Canis lupus familiaris: one gene and its partners. The protein of the gene in region 1 binds, or shares a complex with, the protein of each later gene. Links are inferred from orthologs where the notes say so. Each region holds a gene or a part of one and is shown in the gene's direction. Other genes may lie near its edges. The genes, in order: ARID1B, SMARCD1, SMARCA2, DPF1, PHF10 and DPF3.

Region 1 (4,207 bases):
GAGATGAACTCCTATCCAGAGGGTTAATTGTGCACATTAACCTCTGAAATATGATGAAAGGCGTCGTACAGATTTATGAAGACACGAGATAAACTTCAGCTGTCCCTATTATGGCACCGATAGTTAAATTTCCATGTGCAAGCTGGAGCATAGCACACACCGGTCTACTTATTCGAAGACTTTCCCTTTAGAGAGAGGATAGAGAGAGACAAGCGCCTGTCGTTAAGAAAAATGCTCCTCTGGGAATACTTTTGCGTCTGTAGGCACTGCTAAGCCTACAGGCATACAGAAGGTGCCTGGAAAGAAGAGTTACGTAAACGTCCTCTTTGGGGCAGGTGCGGTCCGTCTCCGCACTTCCTGGGCGCTTGCTGTGTCCAGGACACGCACTCCCCGAACCCACGCGGCCGACCTTCCCCGAAACTCTTTCCTCCTCTCGCAAGTTTTGGAGAAGTTGTGGGAATTACACCGATGGCCCCAAATCGAGGCAGAGCGGCTAACGTTCTGGGGGAAAAAAAAAAAAAATTACATAACTCCTGGGAGAGGCAGTGCTGCTTTTTTTTTTTTTTTTTCCTTTTGCACGGATCGCCCAAACATTTTGCTCCTCCGAACCCCGGAGGCCAACCGACAACTTTGTCCCCCAGCCCTTCTCCCTCTTTTGTCTGCTCGTCAGACTCGTTTTCCACCTTTGTATCGTTCCTTTTAGACGTGAAAACAAACACGCGAACGGCCGGTTGGCAAGGAGACGGGGCGCGAGGGGAGAAAGCGCAGCCCGCCGCCGCCCCAGGCCGCCCCAGCCCAGCCCGCCCTGCCCAGCCCAGCCCTGCCCTGCCCTGCCCGGGGCGGCGGTGCGCGGGGCGCGGGGCGGCGGGCGGCGGGCGGCGGGGCGGCCGGGGGCCCGCGAGGCTGCGCCCGGCGGCGGCGGCGGCGGCGGCGGCGGCGGCGGCGGCGGGGGGCGGCCCGCGCCGAGTCCAGTCCGCGTTTTGCGAGTGCACGCGAGCAATCAGACAGAAGTGGATAATAGTTGCTCGGGCTCGCTCGGCTCCCTCGCATGCCGGCCTGGGCCCGACAGGCTCAGTCAGTCGTGTATTTACCCATATCCGGGTTAGAGAGGAAAAGAGAAAAGTTTCATTTAAACCTGAACTAAAAACTTTGACCATGAAATCACACAGCGGGAGCAGGCCCAGACCGTAAGGCGTGACGCCCGGTTCGGCTCCGGCGGGGCCTGCGGAGGGGGAGGGGGCCGCTCGCCTCCCGTCGGGGCGTGTGGATGCGCACAGGAGGGGCCGCCGACTAAAAAGTGGGTTTTATTGTCTCCCCCCGCCCCCCGCCCGGCCTCGCCACGCCGCGGCGATCATGGCCGCGCGGGCAGCAGCGGCGGCGGCGGCGGCGGCGGCGGCGGCGCGGGCGCGGACGGGCAGCGGCGAGCGGCGGGCGCCCCCCGGGCCGCGGCCGGCGCCCGGGGCCCGGGACCTGGAGGCGGGGGCGCGCGGCGCGGCGGCGGCGGCGGCGGCGGCGGCGGCGGCGGCACCGGGACCCATGCTGGGGGGCGGCGGCGACGGCGGCGGCCTGCATAGTGTGCACCACCACCCCCTGCACCCCCGTCACGACCTGAACATGGCCCATAACGCGAGCACGGCGGCCGCCGCCGCCAGCTCTCACAGCGCCAAGAGCGGCGGCTCCGAGGCGGCTCTCAAGGAGGGTGGAAGCGCCGCCGCGCTGTCCTCCTCCTCCTCCGCGGCGGCGGCGGCGGCGGCGGCGGCGGCGGCGGCGGCGTCCTCCTCTTCCTCCTCGTCGGGCCCGGGCTCGGCCATGGAGACGGGGCTGCTCCCCAACCACAAACTGAAAACCGTTGGCGAAGCCCCCGCCGCAGCGCCCCACCAGCAGCACCACCACCACCACCATGCCCACCACCACCACCACCATGCCCACCACCTCCACCACCACCACCACGCACTACAGCAGCAGCTAAACCAGTTCCAGCAGCAGCAGCAGCAGCAGCAACAGCAGCAGCAGCAACAGCAGCAGCAGCAGCAGCAGCAACATCCCATTTCCAACAACAACAGCCTCGGCGGCGCGGGCGGCGGCGCGGCTCAGCCCGGTCCCGACATGGAGCAGCCGCAACATGGAGGCGCCAAGGACAGTGCCGCGGGCAGCCAGGCCGACCCCCCGGGCCAGCCTCTGCTGAGCAAGCCGGGCGACGAGGACGACGCGCCGCCCAAGATGGGGGAGCCGGCGGGCGGCCGGTTCGAGCACCCGGGCCTGGGCGCCCTGGGCGCGCAGCAGCCGCCGATCGCCGTGCCCGGGGGCGGCGGCGGCGGCGGCGGCGGCGGCGGCGGCAGCGGCGGCGGCGGCGGCGGCGGCAGCGGCGGCGGCGGCGGTGGCGGCCCCGCGGCCGTCTCGGAGTTTAATAATTACTATGGCAGCGCTGCCCCTGCTAGCGGCGGCCCCGGCGGCCGCACTGGGCCTTGCTTTGATCAACATGGCGGACAACAAAGCCCCGGGATGGGGATGATGCATTCCGCCCCAGCCGCCGCCGGAGCCCCCAACAGCATGGACCCCCTGCAGAACTCCCACGAAGGGTACCCCAACAGCCAGTACAACCATTATCCGGGCTACAGCCGGCCCAGCGCGGGCGGCGGCGGCGGCGGCGGCGGAGGAGGAGGAGGAGGAGGCAGCGGAGGAGGAGGAGGAGGAGGAGGAGGAGGAGGAGGAGGAGGAGCAGGAGCGGGAGCTGTGGCGGCGGCGGCCGCGGCGGCGGCAGCAGCAGCAGGAGGCGGCGGCGGCGGCGGCGGCGGCGGCTATGGGGGCTCGTCCTCGGGGTACGGGGTGCTGAGCTCCCCCCGGCAGCAGGGCGGCGGCATGATGATGGGCCCCGGGGGCGGCGGGGCCGCGAGCCTCAGCAAGGCGGCCGCCGGCGCGGCGGCTGGGGGCTTCCAGCGCTTCGCCGGGCAGAACCAGCACCCGTCGGGGGCCACCCCGACCCTCAACCAGCTGCTCACCTCGCCCAGCCCCATGATGAGGAGCTACGGCGGCAGCTACCCCGACTACAGCAGCCCCAGCGCGCCGCCGCCGCCGCCGCCGTCGCAGCCCCAGTCCCAGGCGGCGGCGGCGGCGGCGGCGGCGGCGGCGGCGGCGGGGGCGGCGGCGGGCGGCCAGCAGGCGGCCGCGGGCATGGGCTTGGGCAAGGACATGGGCGCCCAGTACGCCGCTGCCAGCCCGGCCTGGGCGGCCGCGCAACAAAGGAGCCACCCGGCGATGAGCCCCGGCACCCCCGGCCCGGCCATGGGCAGATCCCAGGTAACCCCCGCGCCGGCCGGGCCTGCTTCCGCCGCGGCGGCCTCGCCGCGCGCCTCGAGCCCGACTTTCTTTCTTTCCGCGTACTTTTTCCGCGTCTTCTGCCGGGGGGGAGGCGGGGGCGAGGCGCCCAAAGCCATTTTAACTCGCGGCTGCCTCCCTCGGAGGCTGGGCGGCGCGCGGCGCCCGAGTGCGCGGCGCGGGGCCCGGGGGCCCGGGGGCCCGGGGAGAGGGTCGCGCCGAGGCCCGGGACGCCCGCCGGGACGCGCGGCCGCCCACCCCCCCCCCCCCCCGCCCCGGGCGCGGAGCCCCGCGCGGAGCCGTGCGCGGAGCCGGGGATTGCGCGCCCAGGACGCGGCGTGGGCGCCGGGGGCGGCCCGGGCGGCTTCGGTAACCAGATCGGCGCTCCCGGCCCGCCGGGTCGAGGGAGGAATATTGACCCCGTCTCCTCGGTGAGCGCCCACGACCAGCTTTAACTGGGAAAAGAACGAGGAACTTTGTCCTACCTCCAGCCACACCGCGTTCCCTCTTAACCTGCAAGGTGAAGGCAGAGGGGGGAGGAAAGAGAAAAAAAGAAAGAAAGAAAGAAAGAAAAAAAAAGGTTAGCTTTGTGGCCACCGAGGGTGTTTTTCGTAGTTGTGCCCGGCTATTCGGAGATACTCGATGCGAGCTTTGAGTTTGAGTGCTTCGTAGCAAAAATAACACCCCGGTTTACAACGACGTGGAGGTGAGAGAGGTTCTAAAATTAATCGATTCATTCCCGAGAATAGCCAGGAAATCCATTATTTTTGGCTTCCAGGCTGCTCGAAAGGAGTCACCTTCGACAGGATAGGCTGTGCTAATGGAACGCATTCCGGTTAAATGGGACTTATTTTGATCTCGGATCAGGCATACATTTTATTCGGCGAGTCCA
Region 2 (3,637 bases), on another chromosome or scaffold:
TACCGTATCGGAGGGGATGCAGAGTGGAAAACTGGATCTCTGCTTTCAAAGCAGCTTGCGTTCTGTTTGGAGAAACTAGGCTCATAGGATTAATGCATTTATTTATTTATTTAAAATGTGAAGATCTAATTGGTTTTATTCAATGATTCATGAACTGGGCAGCATCCCTTCTAGTAAATAGGCATTCTGAGGACTTGCACAGAATGGAAAGTTTTGATAGCAAGGAGGTTACTAGCAAAAAATAAAGGATTGTTTCAGACCAGGTTATTTTCTTTTAGAGGGAAGGGAACCGACTGATACAATTTAAAAAGTTGTAAAGCAAAAAAAAAAAAAAAAAAAAAAAGTTGTAAAGTATGTAAGACATTATCGGAACTCACCACTACCAAAGACATAATTCAAAGACGGAGATGGGTGAGGCTGGAATAGCCGGGGAACGCTCCATGGCAAATTTCGGATTTGCGGTAATCCTCAGAGAGGAGAGCACCATAAGCTCAGGCAAGGAGGTGGGAGTGAGTACCGAAAGAGTGAAACGTGCCCTCAGTTTTCTCCTGTCCTGTGGTGACTGTAATTACGGAGGCTGAGCAGAGGAACACAGGACAAGGGGTGCCAGAAAGGATCCCAGAAGAGAGCAATGACTCATTAATAGCAGGGGGTGACTTTGGTCGTTGTGTTAGTAGTTTGCGAGGGCTGCCGTAGTAAAGTACCACGAACTGAGTGCCTTAACAAGAGAAATTTATTTTTATCTGGAGGCTGGAAGTCTGAAGTCAGGGTGTTGGGAGGGAGAATGTGTTTCCAGGCCCCTCTCCCAGCTTGCGATAGCCTCAGGCATTCCTTGGTTTGCAGATGGTGTTCTCCAGGTGTCTTCACATCATCTTCCCTCTGTGCATGTCTGTCTCTGTGTCCAAGTTCCCCCTTTTTATAAGGACACCAGTCCTGTTGGATTAGGCCCACCCTAATGACCTCATCTTAACTTGATCATCTGCAGAGACCCTATTTCCAAATAAGGTCACATTCACAGGTACTGGGGGGTTAGGATTTTGTCGTCTTTTGGGGGGATACAATTCATCCATAACAGGTATGAAGGAGGGAAACAAGTCCTTCTCCTCTTTCTCCCCCCTTCCCTGTCCCCCAGACCATGACCGATGTGGTGGGTAACCCAGAGGAAGAACGCCGAGCTGAGTTTTACTTCCAGCCTTGGGCTCAGGAGGCCGTGTGCCGATACTTCTACTCCAAGGTAGGTGCCTGGGTGTGGGAAATAGACAAAAAGGCAGGGATCTGAACCCCTGATGGATGTCAGTAGTATGAGGTGCCAGCTTCTGGCTTGTCTCATCTTCTGCTCCCTCCACTGTTTTCTCTCTAGGTGCAGCAGAGACGACAAGAATTAGAGCAAGCCCTGGGAATCCGAAATACATAGGGCCTCTCCCACAGTGCTGAGCTGGCTCCATCGATTCTTATTTGGGCCCTGTGCTACCTGCCTCATAGCACCTGCCTTGGCCTTGCTTGGGGCCTCCCAGGGGATGCTGTTGGTTCAAGGACAACATCAGAAAGAAGAGGGTCTCACATTTCTGTCTCATAAGACACCTGTCACCCTCTTCTCCCACCCCATCCCTTCCTGTCCCCCAGCTTCCCTTTGCCCCACAAAGTTCCCATGTGCCTCTACCCTCCCCTGGTCTACATAGGACCTCTAGGTAGCGTTAGAGAGAGAACCTGTAGTGGTAACCAGTGCATTGAATGGATTGGGCCTAAGGCCAGGTGGTCTTCAAGGGGACCAGCTACACTGATCCTGCCCTTCAGAGACCCAGGAGTTGGGAGCTTTAGTCCCTTCTCTGAGACTCAGGCCTGGGGGCACTCTATAAGCTAGTTGATCTTGGCTCTCTGGATAACAGAATCCAATTTCCTTCCTTCCCTCCACAGGTTTGGAGCACACTCTCCCTTTACTTCTTGCCCTCTAGCACTAAAGGAACCCCGGTTCTTGGGCCCCACTGAGCCCCAGGTCAGTCCGCAGCCCTCTGGATTGGCCTGCTGTCTCAGTGCTTCTCTTACTCCCTCGTAGGGGGTCCACATCAGTATTGGAGTTTGTTCTTTAACTGTTGCTCCTTCCCAGCACACTCCCTGTAGCTGCTCTTTTTAGGCTCCCCTGCTATCTATCTGTCCTAACGCAGGGCATTTGGGTGGGGGAATCTTGCCTTTCCCTGTCAGAGCCCCAGGGATCTAACCTGGGGTATTGTCATTGCCAGCAGAGGCTATTCCTTCCTGCTGTTGCTTGGAGGTGTGACTCATTTATTCACTCCACCCTGCCCCCCCACCCCCACCCCTTCGTGGAGAAACAGGCCTGAAATCAAACGGGTAAAAGCCCTGGGCCATCCCTGTCTTCCTGTCCCTTGTCTGCCCAGTTGACACCCACTGGTGACTTCTAGGGCACTGAGGAGTGAAAGCGCCTAGGGCTGGCGAATAGCTCTGAGTTGGGTTTGTGACTCTTCCCTCTCCCTGCCTCACAGGATTGTGACTCCCCAGCCCCTGCCCTCAAAGCTTCAGACCCCTCAGGTAGCAGCAGGACCTTGTGATCTTGGCCCCTTGGAACTGAGATGGTTTTGCATCTTTCCAGGAGAGCCTCAGATTCTTCTTCCAGGTTGTATCACCCCAAGTTAGCATACCCCAGGCTCGCAGACTCAACATAGCAGGGTGGGAGACAGCTGGGCACAGAGGGGGACTCCGTTCAGCCTGGGCTCTAAACCCACAGAACTGACAAAGCCCCTGCTTCCCCACCCCCTCCTCAGGCTCCTGCGAGCACATCCTCCAGCCCCATAACCCTGCCTGTTCCACACCGGGGACAGAATTTTCTCTCCATCTTCCCCTTCTGACCATTGTCCCATCCCTCCCTTAAGAGGTTCTCCCCACAGACACTGGACAACCTCTGTCCTTGGGGCTGGAACCAGGAGAAGGAAGTTCAGCACTCCTACATAGTGTCCCTGTTGAAGATAACTTTTTATTAACGGAATTATTATGTTTTTTTCATGGACCAAAATTTTTTTTGTACTGTCCCCTTATCGATGTCACCCAGTTTTAATAAAAGAATCTTCTGAAGGATGGGTCCCCCTACCTACTGAGGGAGAGCTTTTCCCCGAGCTCTTTCTCCAATACCATTAGCCACACTCATGGTGTTTGTTCATTTTATTTAACAAATATTGACTGAGCACCTGCTGTGTGCCAGCTGCGGTACTAGGCACTAGGGATACGGTGGAAAACGAGGTTTCTGCGCTGTGGACCTCAGGTTCTCCAGAGCTTGCTCTGTCAGCCCGCTGGCTGAGCAGGCTGGTCTGAGCAGGCTGGGTACTGGTTGGGATCATTGGGCTTCCTCCGTGGATCTGAGAGTCCCGCCCCGGGCTCTAGGTAGGGAGGTACTACCAAGGCCGTGCCACTGCCATCTTATCTTCTCCCCGTGGTGTGCGCAGGCGCCGTAGGCTTGCTGATCCTGAGCCACCTTGGGGGCAGGTCCTCTTGGGCCCCTATCCAGCCAGGTCCTAGCTGAGGACCTCTGTGTGCCTCTGCCTGCTGTTCCCTTAAGGCTCCACTCTAGGGCCCTAGTGAGATTTCAGTTCTTCCGAGCAGCATGGGAGGGCTGTGCTGTCCAAGTACA
Region 3 (4,391 bases), about 45 Mb from region 1:
GCATTTCAGACCTGGTTGCTCCAAGACTCAATTTTGCAACTGCAAAATGGTCTTAAAATAGGATTTTACTCTAGGGGGAAAATCCTCCACTAGAGAGTCACGGTGCACTTTGAATGACTAATTGAAGCCATTACATTACAAAATAAAGGATACATCATTCTTTTCATAACACTACCATATAGGAACAGTTTTAATTTTAAGAGTCAAGCACTTACATTAATCTGAGTCTGAAATAATAGGCCCCTGATTTAAAATCTCCTAACATTCTTTCACACTTCATAAAACTAAAAATAAAATTCGTCTCAGCAAACACTGACCTATTCCGCCAGCCAAAGAACTGTATTTCAAGGAGAATTGGAACAAGAGGTCTCCAAACTGCCAAGTGCCAGCAGTTTACTGTTTGTAGCCTTAATCGGTCTGCAACGTGAGGTGGGAGAGGACAGACTGTGGGCTGCCCAGGATAAGAGATTTAGTCCCTTTCTTAAATCAAAAGCAGATTCCACGCTTCAGCTGTCCCCTCACCCGCTCGCCCCGCCCCCACGGGGTTGTTTTTCCCTATCTATGTCTTCCTTGTATGCATTTTATTCGAAGATGACAGGTGAGGGAAGCTTCACGTGCCGCATCTGGTCCGCAAAGTAAACAGAGGGGTTAGGGTGGGCTTATTTATTTACAAGGCATTCAGCCTCTCAGCTGTTTTTCCCTCGTTGGCATTTGGAAGCTTGCCGTCCTTTAGAAAAGAGACAGATTTGGCAGGAATGTTCTTTGTGCCCGCCTCCCTTTTTTACGGGGGAGAAAGGGGACAGATTTATAATTACAACCTTGGGTGGGGGGGGGAGGTAACGGGGAGGGGGGTGGCGTAGAAAAAGTTTCAGCCGGCACGACAATGCCTGCTTTTTTTTTTTTTTTTTTTTTCTCTTCTTCTTCTTTTTCTTTCACGGTCCACACTGTGCAGTGCACTAACAGCTCCGGTGCCACTCGGAGCCCTCCCCCGGTCCCCTCCCCTCTTCCCTCTGCAGGCGCGCTCCGGCAGGCGGAGGCACAGTTAAATTCCAGCACCTTCTCCACCTACCCCCAAACTACTACGCGCTATTACTACGGCCGCCCTCCCCACCCCCCACCGCGCGTCGGGGTGGCGGGGCGGGGGTGGGGGGCGCCCGGCGACGTCCCTTCCAAAGCTCCCCCCTCCCGCCCCGAGGTCGACCGCCGGGAGAGGGATGTCGGACGCCCAAGTCCTGCGGGGCTCGCGGCGAGCTCTGCGTCCTGCGCAGTTTCTCCGCTCCAGGCACCAGCACGGCCCGGGAGCCGGCGCCGCGCAGACACACACACACACACACACACACACACACACACACACACGGATCCACGCATACAGTAGAGCCGTCTCGGTGCACATTCTTGCACACCGCCCCCTCCTCCGCCCCCCCCGCCCCGAGCTCCCGGAGTCGCTGAGCGGGCCGAGTGACAGGCGCGTCCCGCCAACCCGCGCCCGGGCGGGCAGGGAGGAGCGGCGCGCGGGGCCAACTGCGGCGCGTCTTCCGGCGCCCGTGGAGGCGGCGAGGGTGGGACGCGGGGCGGAGCCCGACTTTAGGAAGAGGAGGGGATGGCTGTCATCAATGAAGTCATATTCATAATCTAGTCCTCTCTCCCTCTGTTTCTGTACTCTGGGTGACTCAGAGAGGGAAGAGATTCAGCCAGCATACTCCTCGCGAGCAAGGTAAATATAACTTACAACTCCTTTCTCCTCTCCCCCCCCCCCCCCGCCCATCCCTCCCTCCCTCCGGCCTCCGGGGCTGCAGCCGCCGCGCAAACCCCTCCGGCACCGCGCCGCCTTCGCCGGGGAGTCTTCATTATTATCCTAATTATTATTTATTGTGCATGCACGGAGACCAAAACAAACAGGCGGGCCAACCGCCGCCACCGCCACCACCACCACCACAACAAAAAAGCCCGCCTCCTCCCCGCGGGCCTCAGGTGGAATGCTCTAACGACAGCTCCCGGGCGGCCGTGGAAGAAACGGGAAAGTTTCAACCGAACCTTGCTGTTCTAATAATAACAGTAATAATTACTACTTCGGGGAGGCGAGGGGCGGGTGGGGGGGATCCCGACACAGCACAGCCTTGACCCCAGGTAGGCAGTCAGCGATGCGCTCGCTGCCAACTCAAGGTTGCAACACACACACACACACACACACACACACACACACTCCGCAAGGTTGCAATCCCCCCCCCCCCATCCCCTCGAGGCTGGGGTAGGGCGCCGGCTGGAGGACCCGGGAGGAGGATGGAAAGGCGACAGTTCACCCCGAGCCGTCCTCCCCGGAAGAGTTGGAAGGGGCGCGGGAGAGGAGGGCGAGGAGCCCGGGCTGGCGGCGGGGCGCCAACGATCGCGGCTGCCACCCGCCTCCCGGGGACTTGTTTAAAGGGCTCCGGTTGCCGAGACGCGAGCCGATCGCGGCGGGAGGAGCCGAGGCTGGCGCGCCCGGGAGGCGGCAGCCACCGCCGCGGGGCCGGTGCGTGCAGGATCGGAGGTGTCACCTCCACTTTGCGCGTTCCCTCGGGCGGGGAGGAGGACGCTGACCGGTAGGCAGGCCCTTTTTAGGCAGAGGGGTTCCCGGGGCGCTGCGCCCGGGGCTCTGCGGACGTGCCCGCCTCTGGTACCTGGTACCTGGCGGCCGCGCGGGCTCGGCTGTTGAAGTTCGGGGTGTCCGGCCCGGGCCGCGCCGCCGGCGGGGAGGGAGGAGGCCCCAGGGAAGGAGGTCGGAGGTGCCCGCCGGGCTCGGTTGCGCTGCCCTCCCCCTTCCCCGGGTTTGTTTTCGTTGGCTCGGCGTCTTTCCCCCCAGCCTGAGCCGCGGGAACCTCGGGCGTGGGTCGCCCGCGATCGTCGGGGTGCTAGGGGCTCGCCGGGGCCCGGGAGAGCCACGGCGGCCGCGGGCCGGGAGGCCATGATCCGGATAATCCTCTCTGCCTGACTGTCACAAACAGGACCCGCGCGCACCCGGCCAGCAGTGGTGGCGTTCGCCGGAGAAGGGGAAGGGCTGCGAGGGGGTGGGGGGTGGGGGGTGGGGGGAGGAGGAGGGCGGGGGTGGGGAGGGCGGGAGGCGGGGAGACCGGGTGGGAGCCTCCTCCCCACGATGACACGCACCCCTTCCTTCTCGCTCCCTGCTTTCGAGTTTGCTTTATTCCCATCCCAACCTGATTTACCCCTTCCTCTGCTCTCCCCCTCCATCCGGCCGTCTTCCCTCCTCCCGTTTGCGTTGCAAAACAGGGCCATGCCATCTGCAAAGGTGTCGCGATGCACTTCCCCAAATAACCGGTCCGGCGTGCCCGTCCCCAGGCGCCCTCCGGCTGCGGGCGCACCCCGAGCCCGGTGCTCCGGGTGCCCCGCACCAGGCCTCGCAGCCTGGGCGCAGTTGCAGCGCGCGGGGCGGGGCGCAGCAGTGCGGGCTCCCGGGGACACCCGTGCCCTGGCCCCGGCGCCCGGCCGGTTTCCGGTACACGCGGGGAAATCGCCTCCTGCCAGCGTCTTCGCGCGCGCCCCTGCCTCCGCCGCCTGGATTGCATTATTATTTTTATCCGGGTTGCAGCTTTGCGGCGGATCCTGGTGAGCGCAGGGCAGGCCGGCCTGCTGGGGGTGGGGGCTGGGGTGGGGAGGGAGGGAAGTTGGACGTGGATCAGGCAGGAAAAAAAAAAAAAAAAAAAAAGTTTGGCAGGGCGGCTAAGTAGGGAGGGGGTGGGAGGGGGCGGCGAGCTCCCGCGGCTCGCGCCTCCGCGCCCTCGGGGCCGGCCGAGTGTGTCTGCGCGTGAGTGTGCGTGTGTGCTGCGCGCGGGGCCGGGCCGGTGCCCCCGTCGCGGGTAGGGGCGCGGGCGGCCGCGGGGAGCCCGGGGAGCGCCAGGCGAGGTTCGGCGGCGGGGGCGGGCGGGGGTGGCGTGCGCGTGTGCCTGCGAGTGTGAGTGTGAGTGTGCGCGCGCGAGCGGCAGAGAATCAGGAAGTCACAGCGGCGAAGCGCACACAGACATGTTTGATCGCCGTGACATGACGCGCGCGAGGGAGGAAGCGGCGGCGGCGGCGGCGGCGGCGGCGGCGGCGGCGGGGGCCGGGCCGCGGGCTCGGGCGCGGGCCTAGGGCTCGGGCCGGGAGCCCCCTCGGGCCGTGCGGCCGCCGCAGGCTCAGCGAGCCCCGCGCCTCTTTTTGTTCCGCGTCCCCCAGGTAAGGAGCCTGCGCCGGCGCCGCCCGCCGAGCGCGGAGCTTGCCAGCGCTCTCCCTGCCGGCCCCCGCCGGGCTCCCGGCTCGCCTTTCCTGCAAAGTCAGGCCGGCGGGGGCAGCGGGCTCCTCGCCCTGCGATCGATCGCGTGGAAACTTTGCAGCGGGCAGCCCCGCGACGGGGAAGCAGG
Region 4 (3,340 bases), about 69 Mb from region 1:
CCCTGTTTGAGTGTCTGTAGCTCTCCATATGCATCCAGGTGTAAGTGAGGGTCTGGCTGTGTCTCCTTCTGAGTGTGTCTGAGTGGATCTGAGGGTCTGGCTGTGTCTTTCTCAGGGTCTCGGCATCCTTCCCAGTATGTATGATTGAGTCTTTGAGTCTTGTTGCCGGTCGAGTGTGGGAAAGCCTCTGTCCTGAAGCAAAGGGCATGGTTCCCTGACCCGGGCTGTTTGAGGAATCCTCCAGGGACAACATACCCCCCTGACCCCACCCTTGTCTGCAGACTGTGAGGCACCCCTGAAGAAGGAGGGCGGCCTCCCAGAAGGGCCAGTCCTTGAGGCGCTACTGTGTGCGGAGACAGGGGAGAAGAAGATTGAGTTGAAGGAGGAGGAGACCATTATGGACTGCCAGGTGGGACCACCCCTCAGGGGCCTGAGCTGCCTTCTCATCCCTGCCACCCGCCCTGGCACATCCTGTTCCTGCTCTGCAGTCTCCCCGGGCCTTGGGGCACCCTGGATCTCCATCCTCCCACACCCTGTCTCTTTTTAGAAGCCCCTCTTGACTTGCCCTCCTCCCCCCCATCTCCAGCGGTGTCCAGAACTTCCCCAGAGCAGGACAGCATCCCCCCCATTTTCTTGACCTCGATCCCCCTTCTCCTGGTGCCCAGAAACAGCAGCTGCTGGAGTTTCCACATGATCTTGAGGTGGAAGACTTGGAGGATGACATTCCCAGGAGGAAGAACAGGGCCAAAGGAAAGGTATTACCTCTCAACTTTTCTCCATCGCCCCACCCCTCCGTGGCAGAGCCAGTGTACTGGGCACACACAATGGTCCGGCCTTGCCCCAGTTTGACCCTATTTAATCCCCAGAGAAGCCTGACGGGGTGGGGGTGGGAAGGGGGTTCGTAGAGGATCTTATACCCATTTTACAGATGAGCAAACCGAGGCTCAGATATCATTATACCGTTTGCAAAACAGAGATTGTCCAGTGGCTGAGAGCCGCCTTATACCCACGCTACACGCGAGGAAGCTGAACCTCTCGGTGGAGGCCCACAGTTAGGAAGTGGCAGAGCTGCGGGTCACCTTTCAGGCCCACGAGGTGAAAGCCCTTCCGGTTCCCTCCGTTTCTTGGCCGCTCACCCCCCCCCTTCCCCCGCAGGCATACGGCATCGGGGGTCTCCGGAAACGCCAGGACACCGCTTCCCTCGAGGACCGAGACAAGCCGTATGTCTGTGATAGTGAGTCCTTCTGAAGAGGGGGAGAGAGAGAGTGGGGCCTAGAGACCTCCCCCCTGCTGGCCCCCTCCCTCCTGTTCTAGAGCCCGGTGGGCGGGGCGCTCAGGCCTCTGGCAGAGGGGGGAGGTGTGACCCCGAGGCCAGGGTGGAGGCCGCCCAGGGTGGAGGCCGCCCGGCTGGGAGGGCTGACCCGCCCCCCTCCCTGCTCGCCCTCCAGTCTGTGGGAAACGGTATAAGAACCGGCCAGGGCTCAGCTACCACTACACCCACACCCACCTGGCTGAGGAGGAGGGGGAGGAGAACGCGGAGCGCCACGCCCTGCCCTTCCACCGGAAAAACAACCATAAACGTGAGCAGGCAGGCGGGCTGTGGGGTAGTGAGGGACCCGGGGAGTGGGGGCTGAGGAGCCGGGGAGGGAGGGGGCACATTAGACATTTCTGGAAAATCTCCAGCTCAGCGGTCCCCTCCCCCCACCGACCAAGGGGATGCTGGCTCTGGGGTTGCCATGGCAACCAACCATCTCTCCCTCTCGCTCCCGGCCGGGCATAATATTTCTGGGTCTGATTTATTGTTTCAATTAGAGCTTGGGGAGGGGGGTGATAGATGACTCCCCTCCCTCCCTGCCTCCCTCTCTCCCTTCTCCGCGAAGCTTTGGCTGAGGGGCAGGGTCTGTGGCCTGGGAGCCCTTGGCGCCTGCCCATGCCAATCCCGTGCCAGCCCTGACAGCCGAGGGGTGGGGGAGGGCTTGGGGAGGCTCTGCCGGTGGAGGGACTGTCTTCCCACCCATCTCTTGGTGGGAGAGGGCAGTCTCTTCATCCCGTCCCCTCTACACACCCGGGCACCTCCGTGTTCAGGATTTTTCTTGTGAATGTCCGTCTGTTTCCATATCAGATCTTGGCGAGTGGCGTCCCCAGTTTTTATCTAGTCGGGCGCTTAGCTGGCACTGGTTGTCTGGTAGAAGTGTGTATGAATGGGGAAGCAGGGGGCTCTTCCTAAAGCTGTTATTTGCAATTTTACCTAATAAAGAGGATGTGTGGGTTGTCCTCAGAGAGTCTGGGGCTCCTGATGAGAGTTATTTGGGTCCCCAGTTCTGTTCTGCTACTGGCCGCAGCTCAGGGGAGCTACTCTGTCTCCTTACCTCCCTCCGGGCCTGGAAAAAGGGGTCCACCCTTGGGGCTGAGGCTGGGGGCAGGGTGGAGCCTTGCCTGTGGTGAGAGTCCCTCTCTCTGTCCCCCCAACCCCAGAGTTTTACAAAGAATTGGCCTGGGTCCCTGAGGCACAGAGGAAACACACAGGTAGGGATGCCTCCCTCTGCCCCTATTTCCCCAGCAGCCTCTGACTAGGTGTCCCTGGCTGCCTGTGGCAACCCCTGCCTGCTGTCTTTCAGCCAAGAAGGCACCTGATGGCACTGTCATCCCCAACGGCTACTGTGACTTCTGTCTGGGTGGCTCCAAGAAGACTGGGTGTCCCGAGGACCTCATCTCCTGTGCTGACTGTGGGCGATCAGGTGATACCCCCACCCGAGGTTGCCGGGGGCCTGGGTGGAGGGCACACCAGGAATCTAGATCTGGAGGATGGGAGGTGGAGAGGCGCGGCCTGGTGGGGGGAACCCAGGGGTGGCGCAACGGATTCCACTGCTGAGGACTGTGGGAAACCCAGAGGGGTCAGAGAGGCTCTGGGATGTGGTTGTCATGGCATTGGTGGTGGTGGCCTGTGCTTATCATGGCACGAGGAGTGGTGAAGGATGGTTGCCCCGGCATCGTGGGGAGTGGACTGTGATAATGAGTCATGGATGGCCACTGTCGGGGTCCTGTGGATAACCGACGGCGCTTGCCGTGGACTTGTGGTTAATAGAATGTGGTTTCCCAGGGTGGACTTGTAGGTAATAGACTGTGGTTGTCTCAGCACAGTGGGTAATGAATTGTGGTTGTCATGGTATTACGGGTAGTGCGATGTGGTTGTCATGGCGACTGGGTAGCTGTTGTGGCACCGGGGTAGTGGCCAACGGGGGGGTCTCTGCGCTGGGGTAGCGGGACGGCCAGCGGGTTGGCATCGCACGGTATTGTCACAAGCAGTTTGGCGGCCAGGGTATCCCGGGTAATGGGGCTC
Region 5 (2,405 bases), on another chromosome or scaffold:
TTCCAGCCAAAGGTCATTCCAAATGCTCTATGTGGAATTTGTCTGAAGGGTAAGGAGTCCAACAAGAAAGGGAAGGCTGAATCACTTATACACTGCTCCCAGTGTGATAACAGTGGTAAGTACTGACATGTCTTCTTAACATTTTAACCACCCTATTTGTTGCTTCAGAAACCAGGATTTCTAGTTGTCAGCTAGACCTGAGTCAAAGAATCATCAAATATATAGGGTGACCTATGAGGCATAGAAAAGCAGCCCGTGTATTCTCTACTTTGTATTGTCATTTCTTTGGTGATTAAACATTGTAGCCATTCTCAAGAACTCCCGAAGCAAATTAGCATTTGATTATGCCATAGTAAGTGCAAAATTCTTACGTGAAATACTAATGCTGGTTTTGGTTTAGGCCATCCTTCTTGCCTGGATATGACAATGGAGCTTGTTTCTATGATTAAGACCTACCCATGGCAATGTATGGAGTGTAAAACTTGCATTATATGTGGACAGCCCCACCACGAAGAAGAAATGATGTTCTGTGATGTGTGTGACAGAGGTTATCATACTTTTTGTGTGGGCCTTGGTGCTATTCCATCAGGTAAAGACTGAAAAAAAGGAGGAACGTTATCTCTGAGTGAAGGGACTCTCCCAGCCTTTTTTTCTTAAAGGCTCACATAAACACCATAAAGATCCTTCTGTTCACAAGAAGTGACCAGAGCTGTGGTTACCCAGAAAATGTCCACCTGCTTTTCATCCCTAGGTAACCCAACTGAATCACAAGTGGGATGTAAGTGTTAGAGGTACAGCTTAATACATAGAGAACTCATGTCTTTCTACTGGAAGAACTAAAGAGCATCAGTTTGTTTCAAAGCCTTGATTTTATTTTTATGTCATCTATTCAGAAACTTAACAAAATGACTGCTATGCCTTTATAAATATTAAACCAGATTTCTATAAAATGAGACAGCATGACAATTCCAGATAACTTTGGAATGAACAGAGTCGAATAAATCACAGTAATTGGACTAAAATATTACACATAATTGTGTAAATTTAGAACTTATTTGCATAGTTAACACTGTATAATACTTTATAAAATGTATGCCTAGAACTAAGTTTCCTGGGAATCATTAAGAAGCAGGCAACTTGAAGTTCTGTAGTAACTCAGATGGAGTACATGGTGCAGTTTATCAGTGATTAAGTTTAAAGTGCTGAGTCTGGTACACCGGCCTTGGGAGGAAGTTTAGACTCGCACTTGCCACTGAGCAGCAGGGAAACGGCTGAAAGTGAGCCAAACTCTGTAACAAGTTTTATATCAGGATTTGTATTATTGAACTCAAAGTGTGGTAGTGTTTGGGTTATAGAAAGGATGGTAGTTTTCAAAGGTCCCCATCATTACACACAATTACCTCCTGCCCCCTCCACTTGCATTGAATTTCACATGGTATTGATTACACTGATTATTTTAAGGGAGTTTATTTTTCTCCTTAAAAATTATTAGAACTCCTTATTAGAACTAAGTGCCCTTCACAACACAAATCCACAGAGAAATTACTAGCGATAGCTAAAGGAGAGCCAAATGGGTTTAAAATTCAGTCCTAAAGAATTAAATTTCATAGTATATTAACTAACAATTTTTCTCCTAGGTCGCTGGATTTGTGACTGTTGTCAGCGAGCCCCCCCAACTCCCAGGAAAGTGGGCAGAAGGGGGAAAAACAGCAAAGAGGGATAAGATAAAATAGCTTTCTGACCCCAATATTGTAATATGGATATAAATGAAATATTTGGTGCCAATTTATTTACATTCTCAATTTTATGCCAATAAAAGATTTCTGAAATTAACTATGTGCTTAAAATCTGCTACTTTATTTATTATAAGCTACTTTTACCTTCGAAACCAATTTTAGATAGAGAAATCATAGTTCATTTTCCCAAAGTTTTTTTTAAATCTTTAGTACTTTGGCTCTATTCAGAAATTCAGTGGAAATATTACGTAATCGAAATACTCAACTATTCCTTCATTGACCAGAAAGTGAATAGTAGTTGCATGAAATTTTCCTAATCTATATGGTCTCTGGCCTACCACTGGCAGCATAACAAAGTTATTTAATGATGGAAGAATTTTAACTAATAGGTAGGCCAGGATGATAAATAACAAACGATCTGATGAGAGTTGGTGCAGCTGGGTTTCCTGTCTGGACAGGGGCGCCCACTCCACCTGGGGGCAGGCCCAGCGCTTTAGCCCCGCAGCCACGCAAAAGCGCAAAAATGTACGTTTCAGGCTTGATTTCAGCAGCAGCTTCAAAGTCCTAAACACATTGTAACTTCATTCAGAAACTCTAGGGAGAACACAGTTCTAGCTACCAGCCCTTTCATCTGATGCTCTGTTTTGATTTATCTTCTATATTCCTAGG
Region 6 (3,664 bases), on another chromosome or scaffold:
GCTCCTGTAGATCTACTCTTTTTCCCATATCTCAATGGGTAGCTGTATCATCTGGCTTGCTGACCAAGCCACAACTTAGGGGACATTCTTGATTTCTTTGCTATCATTTTCTACATCTAATTAGTGACTTTCAAATGGGAACAAGACCCTTATCTTTTCCCCATGCCACAGCCCTAGTTTAGGACACTATCACTGCTCACCTGGATGGTGGTAGTAGCATCCTAAGTGGTCTTCCAGCCTCTAGGACCAACCTGTCTCCTCCCAACCTGCTCCTTCTTACACAGCAGCTAGGGAGATCTTTCTAAATTCCACGTGTGACCAGTCACTCCTCTGTTGCTAACTCTTCAAAAACCTTCCATTACCCTGTTGAAAGGTGTTAGTGTGATTAAAAAAAAAAAGTCTTTCATGATATCTCCTGCCTTATTGCTTGCTTGCTTCAATATCTACCTTTTCCAGGATTTCTGTGCTGAGGGGAGCCAAGGTGAGATTTGATGCAAAACTTAGTTTTGCAAAGTCTTATAAGCCATCTAGGTAGGTCCAAAGAATAGAGGAGAGCTGAACCTGGATAATGAGGAACAGATCACAAACGTGTAGCTACTGTGTGCAAGTTCTGAAGGAGATGTGGAGATGAGTTAAGACAAGGTTCTGCCCCAAGAGCCTTACAATCTGTAAAGGAGTAGACAAAGTATATTCCAAAGGAGCTATTCAAGAAAACAATTGTGTGTAGATATCTACCACATGCCAGGCTTTGAGGCATAAAGGAAAATGCAATTAAATGTCATAAGAAAGAAAGAGGACTATGGGGATGCAAGGGGGAGAGAGAACTTCCATTTGAGCTAGATTAGTGACATTTCTGTAGGACAGAAGAGCTGGAAGACTTGAAGGGTGGGTAGGGAATGGTTTAGAAGAGTAGGGGTCAGGGACTGGGAGAGCGTCCAGGCAGAGGGAACTGCAGGAGCGAAGGTGCAAACTGCAGGAGCAACATTCAACACAGAGCTAGAGGGTCCTATTCTCCCCTGGGCTTCAACCTCCAGCCCCCGAGGACGCTTTGGGGATCTGAAAGGTGGCATCACATCCCATCCATTTCTCTGTACTTGCATAATGAAACCCTGAAGAGGTTCTGAGGTGTCATAGATGTTACGGTCAAGTATAGCCATTGCCCTTTTCACAGGTGGAAAGGGTGAGGTTAGGAGGAATTCAGTTAAAATTTGCAAACATTTAAAGTACCTTCTATGCACTAGGCAATCATTATGGGGAACACAGAAGTGCATAAAAGTGGTTTTCCTCCCTTACAGAAACATAGTTATTGGTTAGGGGAGTTCAGAAGTGTAAGGAATCTCTTTAAACATGAATGTGAGACAGTAAAGGAAGGCCTCTTGGAGGAGGTATGATTTGAGCAGAACCCTAACGTGGGGATAGGGTTGGCATAGTTAGGGAGACAGAGCAGGAATTTGCAGGTGTGGGCAAAGCACAAAGCATATTCAGGGGACAGGGAAGACTGCAAATGGGGCCTGGAAAGGAGCATTCAGGGAGGTGGGTCTGCATGGGAGAGGCTGGAGGAGTAGGGGGTGGCCAGACACTGGCCCTAAATAATTCATTCTCTCTCTCCTCCTCTCCACCTACTCTGTATTCCACCAGGACCAGCTACTCTTCTGTGATGACTGTGACCGTGGCTATCACATGTACTGTTTAAATCCTCCAGTGGCTGAGCCCCCAGAAGGTAATGATGATGATGTCGACTGTAGAAACAACAGCTACCCCTATCACTTAGGGAGCCCTCACTCTCATTCAGGTCTCGTGCTAAGGCCTTTCCATGTCTTGTCTCATTCAATCATCACAACCCTATGCTACCATTTTACAGATGAGGAAATGGAGGCACAGTTCAACCCTCTGAAATTTCAGCTTGAGGACCAAGGAGATGTTTCTTGGTCATGCAGACAAAGCGGTGGGGAGGTGTCAGCTTCCAGGGGAACCAGCCCAGGCCTAGTGCTGCCAGTTATATCGCTGTCAAGGACAGTGGGGGTCTTTACAACAGTTCAGTGGATCGCCTCTGAACACTTAACTATTTTCTGAGGAGCGCTCACCCTCTGCCACGAGTTACAGACTCTGGCCCACTTTCAGGCCTGGGCCTCGGTCTCTGAACTGTGAAAGTCAAAGGAGAAACGGCACTTGCAGGAGTGAGGGCCAAGGGGTGGGGCGAAGGGCAGCTGGTAACTAGGGCATCTTGTTTCTTGTAGGAAGCTGGAGCTGCCACCTGTGCTGGGAACTGCTCAAAGAAAAAGCCTCAGCCTTCGGCTGCCAAGCCTAGGGCCCCGGGTCGCAGACTGTGACCTGCTGCTGGAGAGGCTGAGGCAGAGCCCACTTCACACCGGATCAAGTCCCCACTCCCATCTATCCAGACAGACCGACTGTAAGGAACACCCGTGGTCATGGAGGGCATGGACATGTGGAACCGAGAGGGTGAGGTGTCTGCTTACCCCCTACACGCAGGTTCCAGTACTTCTGTCAGCCCCTCCTTGCTTCCACCAGAAGGATCTTTCACGTTTGAAGAACACCCCTGGCCCCGGCCCTGTGGAACCCCCTCACATTTACCCCGGCCCTGGTTCCCATTTTAAGGGAAGCTGTTTTGTGACCACCGATCAGTCACTCACGTGTCGTTTGGTGTTTTCTATCTATTGTGTTCCAAGAAATCTTCACGCAGCCTCCCGCCTCCTGCTTCAGCTCTTTATCCTGAACTCAGCAGAGGGACAAAAGGCTGTGGAGAAGTTGTTATTTATTACCAGCCTCCCTGGAAACTTCTAGACTCGGAGTCGGGAGGCCATCTTGACGATGAAAATCCCTCTTTGTTCCTTGGTCTCTGTGAAGAAGAAAAGCGGTTTTCTGGACCCCTTGCAGATACACCTAGTGGTGTCTGCAGCCAGGGGGGTCCCCTGATGGGGCTGGCGAGGGAAGTAGAAGTGCTGAGGGGTGGGCAGAGACATTGGGAAGAAAATTCAGAGGCCCTGCCACAGCCGATCAGTAGTTGTTACCCATCGGGAGTGGCTTTGCAAGGGGTCAGGCTTTTGGGGTTCCTTGACCTTCGGAGCTGGGACATCCTTGAGGTGAGACAAGCCACAGCCTATGGCGGGGGAGGATGCTGAGGCTCTGCCTCCCAACCAGCCCGGGTCTGGAGCTTTCCCTGGTGGGACTCAAGAGCCGGGAAGGCGGGTGAAGGCTGCGCAGTCCGGAATCTGCATGTCGGCACAAAGGACTGCAGCTCTGCAAAGCCCTTCAGTACTGTTTTGGCACCACAAATTCCTTTTCCCAAGTAATTTCTCCTTCTACATGGTGTGTGTTTGCCACTGTCTACTGACACCGGACTCTGGAGATTTTAGGACGGGGAAGAGAGGATTGTCACCTAAACAAATAACGGGGTGATGGGGTGATTTATGATCACGGTGGCAACGGTACAGAATCCTCAGCTTGAGGGCTGCTCTTGCCCCCCCCACCCCCCAAACTCCCCAATTATGTGCCGGAGTCTTGTTTTCCAAAGATGTTTTGAGAAGAAAGAGGTGGGAGGCTGAGCTTCCGAGAAGTCTGCGTTGGAAGTCAGCCCCGAGGGCGGGAGCGGCCCGGGCTGTCTTTGAATCTCGGTGGCAGTGGCAATGGCAGCAGCACACAATAA

The links.
Region 2: ARID1B (region 1) and SMARCD1 share a complex: the UniProt entries of both Homo sapiens proteins name them as parts of the neuron-specific chromatin remodeling complex. The link is inferred for Canis lupus familiaris from reciprocal best matches to the Homo sapiens genes ARID1B and SMARCD1.
Region 3: ARID1B (region 1) and SMARCA2 share a complex: the UniProt entries of both Homo sapiens proteins name them as parts of the neuron-specific chromatin remodeling complex. The link is inferred for Canis lupus familiaris from reciprocal best matches to the Homo sapiens genes ARID1B and SMARCA2.
Region 4: ARID1B (region 1) and DPF1 share a complex: the UniProt entries of both Homo sapiens proteins name them as parts of the neuron-specific chromatin remodeling complex. The link is inferred for Canis lupus familiaris from reciprocal best matches to the Homo sapiens genes ARID1B and DPF1.
Region 5: ARID1B (region 1) and PHF10 share a complex: the UniProt entries of both Homo sapiens proteins name them as parts of the neural progenitors-specific chromatin remodeling complex. The link is inferred for Canis lupus familiaris from reciprocal best matches to the Homo sapiens genes ARID1B and PHF10.
Region 6: ARID1B (region 1) and DPF3 share a complex: the UniProt entries of both Homo sapiens proteins name them as parts of the neuron-specific chromatin remodeling complex. The link is inferred for Canis lupus familiaris from reciprocal best matches to the Homo sapiens genes ARID1B and DPF3.

Annotation. Positions count from the first base shown.
Region 1 is NC_049222.1:46,851,309-46,855,515, forward strand, and holds the start of ARID1B (AT-rich interactive domain-containing protein 1B), read left to right. Parts: upstream 1-1,338; 5' UTR 1,339-1,353; coding exon 1,354-3,297; intron 3,298-4,207. UniProt on the Homo sapiens protein: Involved in transcriptional activation and repression of select genes by chromatin remodeling (alteration of DNA-nucleosome topology).
Region 2 is NC_049248.1:42,025,162-42,028,798, forward strand, and holds the end of SMARCD1 (SWI/SNF-related matrix-associated actin-dependent regulator of chromatin subfamily D member 1), read left to right. Parts: intron 1-715; exon of another isoform or gene 716-1,132; coding exon 1,133-1,234; exon of another isoform or gene 1,235-1,356; intron 1,357-1,360; coding exon 1,361-1,414; 3' UTR 1,415-3,087; downstream 3,088-3,637. UniProt on the Homo sapiens protein: Involved in transcriptional activation and repression of select genes by chromatin remodeling (alteration of DNA-nucleosome topology).
Region 3 is NC_049222.1:91,388,930-91,393,320, forward strand, and holds the start of SMARCA2 (probable global transcription activator SNF2L2), read left to right. Parts: upstream 1-1,553; 5' UTR 1,554-1,714; intron 1,715-2,443; exon of another isoform or gene 2,444-2,579; intron 2,580-3,467; exon of another isoform or gene 3,468-3,600; intron 3,601-4,185; exon of another isoform or gene 4,186-4,206; intron 4,207-4,391. UniProt on the Homo sapiens protein: ATPase involved in transcriptional activation and repression of select genes by chromatin remodeling (alteration of DNA-nucleosome topology).
Region 4 is NC_049222.1:115,602,912-115,606,251, forward strand, and holds part of DPF1 (zinc finger protein neuro-d4), read left to right. Parts: intron 1-281; coding exon 282-409; intron 410-665; coding exon 666-755; intron 756-1,155; coding exon 1,156-1,234; intron 1,235-1,448; coding exon 1,449-1,580; intron 1,581-2,475; coding exon 2,476-2,526; intron 2,527-2,618; coding exon 2,619-2,738; intron 2,739-3,340. UniProt on the Homo sapiens protein: May have an important role in developing neurons by participating in regulation of cell survival, possibly as a neurospecific transcription factor. Belongs to the neuron-specific chromatin remodeling complex (nBAF complex).
Region 5 is NC_049233.1:72,418,944-72,421,348, reverse strand, and holds the end of PHF10 (PHD finger protein 10), read left to right. Parts: intron 1-6; coding exon 7-115; intron 116-400; coding exon 401-589; intron 590-850; exon of another isoform or gene 851-1,637; coding exon 1,638-1,723; 3' UTR 1,724-1,833; downstream 1,834-2,405. UniProt on the Homo sapiens protein: Involved in transcription activity regulation by chromatin remodeling. Belongs to the neural progenitors-specific chromatin remodeling complex (npBAF complex) and is required for the proliferation of neural progenitors.
Region 6 is NC_049229.1:46,326,468-46,330,131, reverse strand, and holds part of DPF3 (zinc finger protein DPF3), read left to right. Parts: intron 1-1,638; coding exon 1,639-1,720; intron 1,721-2,237; coding exon 2,238-2,308; 3' UTR 2,309-3,664. UniProt on the Homo sapiens protein: Belongs to the neuron-specific chromatin remodeling complex (nBAF complex).